Cricetulus griseus: one gene and its partner. The protein of the gene in region 2 binds, or shares a complex with, the protein of the main gene of each other region. Links are inferred from orthologs where the notes say so. Each region holds a gene or a part of one and is shown on either strand. Other genes may lie near its edges. The genes, in order: Sost and Lrp6.

The links.
Region 1: the proteins of Lrp6 (region 2) and Sost are in contact, whole or in part, in a crystal structure (PDB 6L6R), measured with the Homo sapiens proteins. The link is inferred for Cricetulus griseus from reciprocal best matches to the Homo sapiens genes LRP6 and SOST. Residues at the interface, in NP_001401174.1 of Homo sapiens: Arg28, Asp52, Val70, Ser71, Glu73, Leu95, Ser96, Asp98, Glu115, Arg141, Trp157, Trp183, Asn185, Ala201, His226, Phe228, Trp242, Met269, Arg336, His361, Asp379, His404, Asp406, Thr422, Glu447, Arg449, Trp465, Trp491, Asn493, His534; in NP_079513.1 of Homo sapiens: Leu115, Pro116, Asn117, Ala118, Ile119, Gly120, Arg121, Arg169, Thr171, Arg172, His174, Asn175, Gln176, Ser177.

Annotation. Positions count from the first base shown.
Region 1 is NC_048600.1:116,128,399-116,135,042, forward strand, and holds Sost (sclerostin), read left to right. Parts: upstream 1-2,430; coding exon 2,431-2,650; intron 2,651-5,010; coding exon 5,011-5,432; downstream 5,433-6,644. UniProt on the Homo sapiens protein: Negative regulator of bone growth that acts through inhibition of Wnt signaling and bone formation.
Region 2 is NC_048601.1:14,478,214-14,484,757, reverse strand, and holds part of Lrp6 (low-density lipoprotein receptor-related protein 6), read right to left. Parts: coding exon 6,343-6,544; intron 4,679-6,342; coding exon 4,467-4,678; intron 3,277-4,466; coding exon 3,086-3,276; intron 187-3,085; coding exon 1-186. UniProt on the Homo sapiens protein: Component of the Wnt-Fzd-LRP5-LRP6 complex that triggers beta-catenin signaling through inducing aggregation of receptor-ligand complexes into ribosome-sized signalosomes.

The DNA of each region.
Region 1 (6,644 bases), on a different chromosome or scaffold from region 2:
TGTACACACCCTTTTTCCTTTAATCCCAAGCCTGACCTCTCTCTGGTCACTTGGTTTCTCCTTTTATGTCCAGCAGGTGGCAGAAGTGTTCCAAGAACTGGTCCTCATCTCCATCAGCTATGAGAACCATTTTGCATGGTGACAGAACCCCTGCCCAGGAACTGCCCTCTCCCAAGTCTGGAGGGAGCAACAGGCCGGCTCTCTGGCCCAGATAGGGTTAACAGTCCACATTCCAGAGCAGGGAAAAAGGAGACTGGAGGTCACAGACAAAAGGAGGGGGCAGCTTCTAACAACACCACAGCTCTGGTGTGAGAGATAGATCACCCCCAACAATGGCCACAGCTGTTTTTGTCTGCCCCGAAGGAAACTGACTTAGGAAGCAGGTATCGGAGAGGGCCCTTCCTGGAGGGGCTTCTGTCTGCCTTGTAAAGCTGTCAAAGCAGCTGCATTGATGTGTGGGGGATGGGAGATGAAAGGAGGACACAGGCGGTTGGCCACAGATGGACAGGCCACTTACAAGTCGAGGCAGGTGGCAGAGCCCTGCAGAAGCGGTGCAGGTGGAGGACACTGATTCATTGCACAGTTAGCATACCGAGGCAAAGTGGACCATAACCTCCTTCCCAGCCTTCCTCCAGGGCCATCTCAGCAAAGGCTTCTGCAGGTCCTTCCTCCTTTTTTTGCACCTCAGGTGTGAACCCTCCTGCTCATACCCCTCCTTCTGCCTGTCCATGGCCCTCTGCTCCTGCTGGCTGAGCCAGCAGCTCCTTTGGATTTCTTTGTGCCTAGACCAGTGGTTCTCAACCTGTCCGTCGAGCCACCCACCCCCAACCCCGCCGTGGGGGTTGTTGAATGACACTTCCAAGGGGATCAACCACCCTGAGATGAAGGGAAATATCAGATATTTACATTATAATTCATTACAGTTACAAAGTAGCTATGAAAATAATTTTCTGAAGAACTGCCTTAAAGGGTCACAGCATTAGGAAGGTTGAGAAGCAGTCGCTTAGATGGACCTGAGATGGCTCTCTGAAACTCCCCTGTTATATATGTCCCTTGGATTTTTCATCTAAGACTCAGTTGCTTATGAAAATATAATGAGAGACTGGAGAGGTGACTTGGTGAGTAAGAGCACATGTTGTGCAAGCATGAAGACCTGAGTTCAAATCCCTACCATCCATGTGGAAAAGTGGTCATACATGCTTATAACCCCAGGATTGGGGGGTGGGGGGTGGGGCAGAGGCAGGTGGATCACGGGAGGCCACTAGCCAGCCTAACCTGAATGTCTCAGGAAGAGATCCTGTCTCAGGGAATAACCTGGAGAGTGACAGAGGAGCACACACCTCCCCTGGTCTGTATGCACCCACACATACATGTACCCTCTCACACATATACCATGCACACATGTACACAGCAAGTGTAATACTCTGAGAAATGGCGGCACTAACTGAGAAATGTCACCACTAAAAGCACTGGCCTTGGCTTTTGCTAAGAAATAGGATTCTGTGTTGCCTGCCCCAGGCCTGGCCAGGGAAGGAACTGCCTTTGGCACACCAGTCTATAAGCCACATCAAGTTCCCTGGCTAAGCATCACCTGTGATGGATCCCAGGTCCCAAAGGGTAGAAGAGATTTCCTCTTTGTGCTCCATCTCCAAGAGCTGTGCTTACCCTCCACCTGTTGCCAGAATCCCACCTTCTCACCGGTGGCTCTGGACTCTCTACTTCTCCCTGGTTTTAAGGAGAAAGCCAAGGGACTTTTGCTCGGAATCTTCAGTGCTGAGCCATATGAACTTGAGGCCAATGGGATTTCTTTAAAAGCACCCGTGTAGAAGAGTGCTTGCATAGCAAGCATGAGACTCTTAGGTTGGATTCCCCCAAATAAAAAAGGCATCCTTCTGCTTGTGGGTGGGTAGTGGGGTGCAACAGACACCTTTAATTAAGACCATTAGCTGGTGGGGTGACAAAGGAACTTGGCTAGAGGAATTTGGTCAGCTGGACTCTGCCTTCTGTAGAACTCCACATGTTTCCTTTGTTAAGCTGGCCCACAGTTTGTTTTGAGAATGCCTGAGGGGCCCAGGGAGCCAGACAATTAAAAGCCAAGCTCATTTTGATATCTGAAAACCACAGCCGTCAGAACGTGGGAGGTGCTGGGAGAGTTGGCTCTGTCCTTGCCTCACCGCACCCCCTCCCACTTGGGTCACCTGGGAGTGCCAGCAGCAATTTGGAAGTTTGCTGAGCTTAAGAAGTCTTGGGGAGGGCTTGCTCTGAGCACACCCCTTTCCCCTGAGGAGGGGGGGTGAGGAAACTTGGGAACAGCCCTGTTCTAGTCCATCCTTATTGGCTGGCATGAGGCAGAGGGGGTTTTAAAAGGCGACTGTATCTAGGCTGGGGACTGGAGCCTGTGCTACTGAGTGCCTTCCTCCATCTGGCACCATGCAGCTCTCGCTAGCCCTGTGTCTTGTCTTCCTGCTTGTACATGCAGCCTTCCGTGCTGTGGAGGGTCAAGGGTGGCAAGCCTTCAAGAATGATGCCACCGAAATCATCCCTGGGCTCAGAGAGTACCCTGAGCCTCCCCAGGAGCTGGAGAACAACCAGACCATGAACCGGGCAGAGAATGGAGGGAGACCTCCCCACCATCCCTATGACACCAAAGGTATGGGATGGAGAAGACAAGTTGTTAGCATGGGGGCCCGGGAGGTAATGGGGGTAGTTTTAGAATCTGCTCTTTGGAGGCCTTGGAGATTGGGCGGATAGTTAGCCTCTGCCACACCAGGGGAGGGACAAGCTTGCCTGGAAGAATGCTAGCACAGCATTAGAGTCTGAGGACAGGCTTGGGGAGGGGGGCTGGCTGAGCACCCAAGACAGGGGTCAGGCCGAGATCAGCCGAAGCTGGCATTAACTTAGGCAAGGGCTTGTAGGATGGTTCAAAGAATCTCCTAGATCTGGCTGGACCAGTGGGAAGGTGACAAGGTAAGGCTGGTAAGCACCTTGATGGATGCTGTGGCTGTACTGTATGGCCACCCCATAAGGTAATCCTAGCTTGAAGGTGGATAGATTGAGGCTCCTGAGATAAAGCCACCTTGGAGAAGGGGTAAAAGAGCTGAGACTGGAAGCTGGTTTGATCCAGTTGCAACACAACCCTAGATTGGGTTTGGATTGGAACCTGAAGCCGGAAAGAACCCCCACTCAGTTCCCCCTGTTGGGCGCAGTGGGTTAGCATCAGAGAACAGGCTTTTAGGTACAGTTTTAGCCAGTGACATGACTGGCAGATGAGTGTAGCGTCCCCCCATATGGGCACAGGTGGCACCATCTGCCCTCTGCTTGCACCCTGGCCCAGCTTTGTCTCTCCTGTCTCTCCTGTCTCCTGGCCAGTGAGGAGAATGGGGAAAGCGCTACCCTGGAGAAGCAGGAGCAGAGGAGCGTGCAATGTGGTCACGTTTTGCAGAGGAAGTGCCTGACCTAAGGACACTATTCTTGGAAAACCCCCAAACTTATCCTTCCCTGGGCAAATCGACTCGCCTCCACATACCACCTCTACAGGGGTGAGGAAGTCAAATCAGCCCAGAAACCAAAGAGCCAGCCACAGAAGGGTAACACTTCCGCAGCTGTGCCTGCTCTCTGGGGTGGAGGTGGTTGCTGGCCTCTGCTTCTCTCTGGTTTTGGTTCTGGAACTTTTTTTTTTTTTTTTAAATCTTTTCATGCCATATTAGGGCTCATTCTGTGAAACTTTTGGGGGTAGACAGGACTCACATATGAATTATCTAGCTTAAAAGCTCCTGTCCACCCACCTAAGCCCATGGTGGGAGACATAGCCTGGGTGTGTGCATGAGATGAGGCCAGGCATGGGACCCAGCCTCTTCCACAGAAGGCAGGCTTGCATCACCATGAGCTATTGTTCAAGGCACACAGAACACGAGAGCCTGGTATGCAGCAGGTGCTAAACAAATGCTTATGGGGGTAGAAGCTGTAGGGCTGGGGGCCAGAACTCTGACTCCCTCTGCTAAGGAAGTAGCTAGCGAAGAGTGAGCAGCCCTCTCCCCCCCACCCCAACCCCTCCCCAACCTGGGATCCTCTAACAAATCACTTTCACCCTTGAAGGAGCCAGAAGGTGCTGGCATCCTAGGCAGGGGTGTCAGGCAACCCAGTCCTGCCTTTGGGGCAAGTTCTTTTCTCAGCCTGGACCTGTGATAATGAGGGGGTTGCAAACGCCGCCTTTGGTTGCTTTCAAGTCTAATGAATTCTTATCCCTGCCACCCGCCCTTCTACCCGCTTCTCTACAGCAGCTGTCCTGATTTATTACCTTCAATTAACCTCCACTAGTTTCTCCATCTCCTGAGCCCCCGTCCCTGCTCCAGTGACTGGTAAAAAATTTAGAAGGGACCAGAGTCAGCCCTAGCTGGCTAGCGGCTGCTAGGCAGGGCTGGGGATAAGGAGCTAAATTTCTAGAAGATTGCTTGGCTATTATGCGCGAAGCTCAGGGCCGGATCCCTAGTACCTCATAAGCCAGACAGTGGGTGATCCACGCCTGTATACCACCACCGGAGAGGTGAAGATGGGAGCTCAGACACTCAAGATCATCCTCAAGTACACAGCTCATTTCAGGCCAGCCTGGGCTACATAAGACCCAGTCCCCAAACAAGAACATACTGCCAGCTCTGACTGTGCCATGTAGCGCCCGGTATAATGCGCATGTAGTGGATGAAGCCATTGAATCCTGGGGCAACCTGTTTTACAGATGTGGGGAAGAGAGACGTTAAGTTGCTTGCCCACCGACCACATAGAAAGTAAATGGCCGAGCTCTGGTGTTTGATCACTGGCTTCTAAGGACAGTGAGCAGCCAGGGAGAGATCTTCCCCTGCAAGCTCCAAAAGTACCTGGTGCTTCCTTCCTATAAGCCATGCATGGCTGAGAAAGCGCCTGGAGAGCAGCAGGTTTGGAAAAAGCAGGGAGAAAATAGCGGGAGCAGGCCAGCCTGGGCTAGGCTGCCGCCCTTACGCTTCGCTCTCTCCGCAGACGTGTCCGAATACAGCTGCCGCGAGCTGCACTACACCCGCTTCGTGACGGACGGGCCGTGTCGCAGCGCCAAGCCGGTCACCGAGCTGGTGTGTTCGGGCCAGTGTGGCCCCGCGCGCCTGCTGCCTAACGCCATCGGCCGCGTGAAGTGGTGGCGCCCAAACGGACCCGACTTCCGCTGCATCCCGGACCGCTACCGCGCGCAGCGGGTGCAACTGCTGTGTCCCGGCGGCGCGGCGCCGCGCGCACGCAAGGTGCGTCTGGTGGCCTCCTGCAAGTGCAAGCGCCTCACCCGCTTCCACAACCAGTCGGAGCTCAAGGACTTCGGACTGGAGACCGCACGACCGCAGAAGGGTCGCAAGCCACGGCCTCGCGCCCGGGGCGCCAAAGCCAACCAGGCGGAGCTGGAGAACGCCTACTAGAGCGCTCTCGGGCTCCCGCAGCCCCCGCGCGATCCGACTCGTTTTCATTGTAACGCCTGTAGCCCAGGCCAGGGGCGCCAAACCTTCCAGGCCATGCGGAGTCCCCAGCCGCTAGAGTCCCCTTGCCCTCCTGCCGGTTGCGGGAGTTCCCGCAGGCCAGGAGAGGGAGCTGAGTCATAGACACTGAGCCACTCTGCCCAGCCAGGGGCGGTGCGGGGGAGGGGGGCTCCTACCCTCGCCGGTCCCCTACAGGACACGGTAGCATTTTCACCGTAAAGGGAGCAGAGTGTGGAAGGACCTGGCACTGGTTACAGAAGTACAGTAAGATTCCCCACCCCACCCCACTGTAAAGCCCGTGTGTGCAAGAACACAGGACTAGATAGGATTTCTGGCCTTGGCTTGGCCACTGAGTGTGAGTTTGGGCTACGTGGTTCTCTTCTGGTACCTCAGTGTCTCCTTTGTAAAATATGGGTCACGGTGAGATTAGACTCTCCAAGGACTCTGCTGAGCTTCCAAGGGTTGGGGTGCTCCCATATGGACAGGTGGAGGAGACAGGGAGAGAATGAGGGAGAGAGAGAGAGAAGAAAAGAGATTTCTGCTTGGCAACCTCCTAGAAGAGGCTGTTGATTCCCAGTCTGGCCTCCCCGGATGTTTGGCTACCCCCACTCCTTCGTCTCAAATTTGCCTTCAAACTGGGGTAGAGAAGGACAGGGTCTCAGAGATGGTGGAAGGGACAGAAATCGCACCCCTGGTCCCCAAAGATCAGTTTCCTGCCCCCCACTGCCTTGCCATATTTCAAAGGGATTTTCCACACAACAGTTTAAGGTCGTGGGGGAAAAACTGGGCTTGCCGGCCACTTCCAACCAAAGCTGTCTCTTCCAGGACGCCTCCTCCCGCCTGCCACCCACGGACACATTTCTGTCCAGAAAAACAGCGTCTTCATGCTCTCCTTAGTGATGGCATATCTTACATGAAAGAGAATCATAATCCGGGGAGGGACAAGTGCTGTCCATATGCCGAGAGGCTGGGAGGCGCCACAGCCGCCACCCACAAATCCTTTTGTAAACCATTTCCAGACACCTCTTACTTTCTGTGTAGATTTTAATTGTTAAAGGGGTGGGTGTTTGTAACTGTAGGAAGAACGTGGAGCAGGGAAGCCCCTGGGGCTGGCCTGGTGGGTTTGGCGAACTTTCCATGTGGGGCTCATCCGCA
Region 2 (6,544 bases):
TTACTGCATGGATGTCACTCAGCTGAGCAATTCGAGCCTGGACCTTCGTTCTTCCTTCTCGACCAGTCATGTCAATTTTTTCAATCATTTGCTGCTGCTTATCAATCCAATAGAGCCAGTTTTCAAACACAGTCAGACCCACAGGCTGCAAGATATTAGAGTCTTCTAGCACTATCCTGTTGGCACCTTGGAAAAGGAAAATATTCAACAGTAATGATTTGTGTGGCCAAATCCCACTTTCCACAGTTATCCAATGAATACTAAGTGGACTCGAAAAGTATGGGAAATACAAGCTCTGCACCATGAGACTTAACTGTACCAGAAAACGGTACTAAACCAGACATGTGCAACTGGGAATTAATTACCAATATACAGGGACTTTTCTAGTTAGGAAATGTAGCAAAGAACTTGGGACAGTGAGTTTCAATTTGTTTTTAGCAGAATCCATTTTCAAATTAAATTATATGAAAAACTAACACAACAAAGCAGATGAAAGCAATGCTTGTCTAGATGAAGCAGTGGTAGAAAGCCCAGGGTTCTATGCTTAGCACCCCCCACGTTCTGCAAACACCTGAGACATTTATCAAAAACAATTCTACCCTGATTCCACTTGGCTTCTAAAAATACACAGTCCATCTGACTCACAGGTTATGGACTAATCCTGTAATATCCTGGACTCAATGTCCAAGAACAGTAATACAAGGCAGGGGGGATTAGCTTCTGGATGGTGTGGTAATGTTGAAGCATAGACAGGTGATTCTTGGCACCTCTAGAGTTTGGTGTCATCCATGCTCTCAGAGGATCTCAGAACATATCCTCTGAAGAAAAAGGAGGACCATGTACAAGTCAGCAACATCGAAAGTTTTTTTTTTTTTTCCGAGACAGGGTTTCTCTGTGTAGCTTTGGAGCCTATCCTGGCACTCGCTCTGTAGACCAGGCTAGCCTCGAACTCACAGAGATCCGCTTGCCTCTCCTCCCCAGTGCTGGGATTAAAGGCGTGCGCCACCAATGCCCGGCCAAAATCAAAAGTTTTATGGACTCATATGTGTAAGAATTTTCGTGTGTGTGTGTGTGTGTGTGTGTGTGTGTGTGTGTGTGTGTGTGTGTGTGTGAGAGAGAGAGTGCGTGCATGCGCGCGCATTTCTGAGGACTGACCCCAAGGCCTTGCTTATAGCTAGACAAGTGCTCTAGCAGTGAGCTGCATGATTCCAGGTGACCACACGGCAGCTCACCCGTCTCTAACTCCAGTCCCTGGCAGGTACCGGGTACACATGTACTACACAAACATGCATTCAGGCAAAACAGTTATTTTTTTAAACTTAAATCTCAAAATAGTGGAAAAGGCAGATTGTCTAGTCAATGGTATTGAGACTAAGTAGACAAAAATGCAAAGTTTCTTGTCTTATCAGCAAATGGAGGTTCCCATGAACCTCAAAGTACAAGATAACTCCAGATAAAACTCTACTAAACAAGGCCAAGGTTGACCCTGACCAGACAGATTCACTTTCATATACCTTAGCAGTAAATTCATATTCTGAACCCACAAAAAAATTCTAGAAATTCAAAGTGGAAAATGGCAGATGAGTACAGTGGTATATACCCACATTGCAGCTGCTCAGAAGGCATAAGCAGGCAGGGGTACCTCAAGTTTTTGGTCAGTGTGGTAAACAGTGCAAGGCTTTCTTTAAAACAGTGGTATGGGGACAGAAAGGGGGGTGTCGGGGGACGGGGGATGGGACTTATGAGCAGTAAGAAACAGGGAAATGCAAACTATCAATCAACACAAAAGAAATTTTGTTCCATTTCCATAAGTAAGAAAAAATTGCTACTATTATATACATTTCAAACTACTGGACTTATAAAAATCCCCAACATTACCAAGTGCTAGGGAGACAATTCTCATATAATGTTGATAGGTTCTTTAGACTATTAAAACTTTGGAGAGAATCCACATTCATTTTTATCTGTCGGTACAAATGGGTGTGCTACTGTCTCTATTATGTAGAAATTCCACCACTGCTTTTAGGCAACAGAGAGGTTCACATAGCAAGGTGGGGGCTGGCTGGTTTGTTTTTGTTTTTGTTTTAACAGGTTTTTGGAATTAGTCCAGCAGGTCTCAAAATAAGAGTCTTCCTGCTTCTGTTTCCAAGTGCTATGATTACAAGCACTTAACACCTTTCCTTATTCTTGAGTGGCACTGATAGTCACATACTGATAGGCTACATGGAATTTCTCCATGAAACACTATCACAAATGATGTTCAGTGATCACTCTGTTAGTATTTCTGTCAGACAGTCATCTAAAAGAGTAACTGCCAAATCAAAGGCTCTACCTCCTTTCAATCCTGGTAACTATTGGCAGACTGTCCTCCACTAGAGGTTCTACTCTTTTAATTGACCCCAAAGTGTCCTGGATTTGTGGTGCGGGAGACAGGATTCAGCATTCACATTAGGCAGATGCTGTACCAATGAGCTCCACCTTCACCCTTAGGAGAGTATGTTATTTCTACCATCCTGGCAAGTACTGGGTTTAATAAACTTCAACATACTTTTTGCCATTCTGACAAAAATAAACAGTGTATTATTTCAATTTTATCTTCCTGGTCACTAAAGAGGCCATGCAGAAACTGGATATCATGAATTATGATAGAAGAGAGAAGACCACAGAGAAACAAAAGGTAAAAATGATGACTGTTTGAAGAGTGAGAATACTCAGATCTTAAGGAGACATATTAGGAAACACACTTCAGAACAACGTCTGCATATGGGAGAGTGCTTCTGAACTTTCATATGGAAAAATGCAGAGAGATCAATCATAGGCTAGATTTCAGAGAGGACAGAATGTAAAAGTAGAGTGGAAGAATTAGGAAAGAAAACAAAAAGATACATAATTTTCAGATCAACAAAACTGCTGAGTAATTAGGGAACAAGGATGTAATCTCAAACATCCCCCCAACTAACATAATGCAGAATATATTTAATGAAAAAATTATAATCATGTACAAAAACAACACAAAAGAAGTACAAATGCACAGTAGTGAAATCATCTTAAAATTTAAGTCACGATACAGAAACACTTTGGGTACCTGAGAGATCACTGCTTTCAATTCGCCGGAGGTCTGAATCAGCCCAGAAGAGCTTGCCCAGCTTGCTGTCCAGTGCCAAAGCAATTGGTTTACTTAAGCCACTGAAAAAGAGGACCTCCCGTTCTGTTCCATCCAAGGCAGCCCTTTCGATTTTAGGAGATCTTTCCTGGAGATTGGTAAAATACATATACCTGAAAACAACAGGAGAAAAAGTTACCAAAGAGCCAGACAAACTGAGAATATTCTTGTTAAGAATATGCAGAAAGTACAGCTCAGTGGGAGACCACTTGCATAACACGTGCAAGGCCTTGGGCTTAATCCCCCAAACCACAAACATTTATTTATAAAGATAGGAGGTAAAATACTTTCAAATCTATCTAAAAATTCTCAGCTATATGCAAAGACATACTATGCATATAATGGAATAATCGGACAGTTCAAAGCACGGATATACTTCATAGTTAGGTTAAATATATCTATATCCTCAAGCATTTACTGTTTACGGTAAACAAAGTCTTTCTGATGGACTTCTGGGGTATGCACTCTGCAGTCGGTCGCTCTTAGCAATCAGCCTACTGTGCAATAGTGTGCTAGAGCTGCTCAACTGAGAGCACCTACTGATTAAACTTTCTCCAGGTTCTCCCTGCCCACTCCCAGTCTATTTTTTTACAAAGGTCAAGGGATATATTTATTATTTTTAATAACAGTCACAGAGGGCACCAAGAAGTAAGTGTTCAGAGAGTTAAATTTCACAGAAAAAAATAATGTCCAGAGAGATCTAGTTACAAAATTTTTAGGCATTTCTCTAATTAACCATTTTAATTACCAAAGATGGGACACACAAATCATTTATAGGTTTCATCCCTTTTCTGTAACTCTAGAATTAAGCCATTTTCCTGCTAATGCCCTTATCATCTATTCAGATGCAGCTGAGCATTGACTTTTTTTTTTTCTAAATCACATACAAACTCCATTAAATGAAAGCAGACATACTAGTTATTTATAATGGAGCCGAAGGTCTAGTAATAACCATGTAACAGAAAAACAGTTGAGTAAAGCAAACTGGAAAGGAATAATCATGACTAAGAAGACACAGAGTAGGCACTAGATTCCAGAAGTGAGAGAATCACACCTGGCTGGGGGATGAAGGAGATCAAGGCAAGCCACACAGAAGATGTGGCAGTGAAATAGTCCTGGAGGGTATGGGTGGGATTTAGAACTAAACCAATGAAAGAACTCTGGGCAGTAAAATCAGAAAAAACAGTAAGAAAATGCAGGACCAAGTAAATGGGAAACACTGAGTAGAGTTGTTTGCTGGTGCAAGGAAGGGTGAAGAGGGCATCAGAGGCGAAAGTGGAAAACTGAGGCTTTTGTAACATACCCTTTCTCAGGGTTTACCACAATGGCTCTGGGTCTGTCTTGCTCGCCTTTTAGAACCACTCCAATTGATCGCCCATCTAATCTTGTCACATCAATGACATTGGTAGCTTCACAGGTCCAGTAGATGTAACGGCTATAAATATCGATGCTGAGGTCATAGGGCTGTATTTCGAGGTTCTGATTTGGAACTGAGCTAACAACTACAGTAAAACCCTAAAGAAAGGAAAAAACACACAAGTTAGATTCCACACCAAACTACAGGCCATGACCACAATTATTAATTTGTGAGGTCACACCTCAGAAGGGTATCCAGTCTTTGGGGATATTTCTTATAGAAAGGGCTTTTATGAGTGGTATATCTGCTTGTTAACATGCATTTCAAATATCCCCCTGGGTTGCTTTATGGAACAGAAGAGTATGCTGAGGATAGCAAAGATAGTCCAGGAATCTGACAATGTCTTGATCAGAGGAGGTACCAGCTTTCCCCCATAACTATAAACAACTGTGGCTCCAATCACACCCTGGAGATACCTCTAGAGCAGTAGTTCTCAACTAAGGGTGATATTGCATCCATGGGCATTGGGAATGTCAAAATGTGAGAAACCTACTGATGACTACTGGATAAATACAGACCAAGAATGCTTCTAAACATCCTGTAGTGCATACATAGGGTAGCCTTACAGCAAAGAACTGTGCAGTCCCTAAGACCAGCAATACCAAGTGTGAGAAACCTTATTCTTCTGGAGAAAATAGCAATCAGGAGCGCACGCACGCACGCCCGCACGCCGCACTATTCAGACACAGGGTCTTAATCTATTGGCTAGGAGCTTTCATTTTTAGGTTCCTACATGCTGGGACTACTGCCCTATACCAAGATGCCTGACTACAAATTAATAATAAGTTTTTTTCTTGTAAAGCCAACCAAAAGCAGATTTGTCTATTTATTCTGTCCATATAAATTTTATTTCATTTACTAGGACTTTGAGCTAATATAGCCTTTTAAAAACTACTTATATCATTTATTATCTTTGGCTGTGTAATTTCTCTCTACCAGTTATTGAGTACTAGCCTATGTAGTACAAGGTACAGCTGGAGTACAAAGTATGACCACATTGCACTCGTAAGTATGTATGTATGTATGTATGTATGTATGTATGTATGTATGAATGTATGTATATCTCGCCCTCCTTGTTCTTTACTGTAAGGTAAGACAGAAAAATTGAGTAATATTTCTCTAAATTTTAACCATTCAAAATCCAATTTAAAATCTTTCGAATAAGGAAGACGATAGATAGCTATTGTAATCTCAAGCTTACACTGACTGACCCTAGAAGGAAGGAGTATAAATAATAGTATTGAAATCCACAATGGCACATAGGCACAGATAAGACTGATATTATCCTTATTCTCATTCTAAAGTCCCCAAATAGTAACCAAAAAAATACAGAATCAATAACACATTGTTGACATTTTTAATTTTACTAAGATTATCCTGTTTCTTAATCAATGAGTCTTAAAACGTAAAAAAGGTAACTATTAAACAGGTAGGGGCTTTACGCCTTACATTCTGTTCAACCAAAAAACTTAGCTGGGACTAGAACAAAGACCTACTTGATTTCAAAACATGTATTCAAAGGGATAATGAAAAAATGGCATTAATGGATGTGAACAGTGGTGGAAAAGTCACTAATGACCTAGCTTCCCTGATAAAATTTCCAATCCAATGCCATCATCAAATAATGATATTCGTAGAGTACAGCTACTTTGAGTAATAAAAAAGTCCTAAAATTTCCATTTCCCCTGTAGGCAGATGAAGCCGTGTGGATGGTTAGAGTTAATTCTAGTCAGAAATGGGCTCTAAATTAAGCCTGAGTTACCTGGCCACCATCTTCTTGTGCCTTTCGGATCATGTTCTGTCGAGAGTCAATCCAGTAGAGCTGCTTGTCCAAAGGGTCGTAATCAATGGCCCTAACGTTCCGAAGGCTGTGGATGGGAAGGGTGATGTCAGGGCTCTGCTGCTCGTCGATCACCATGCGGTTGATGGCACTCTTCTGACTGAAGAGCAGGAAGGTGGTAGGA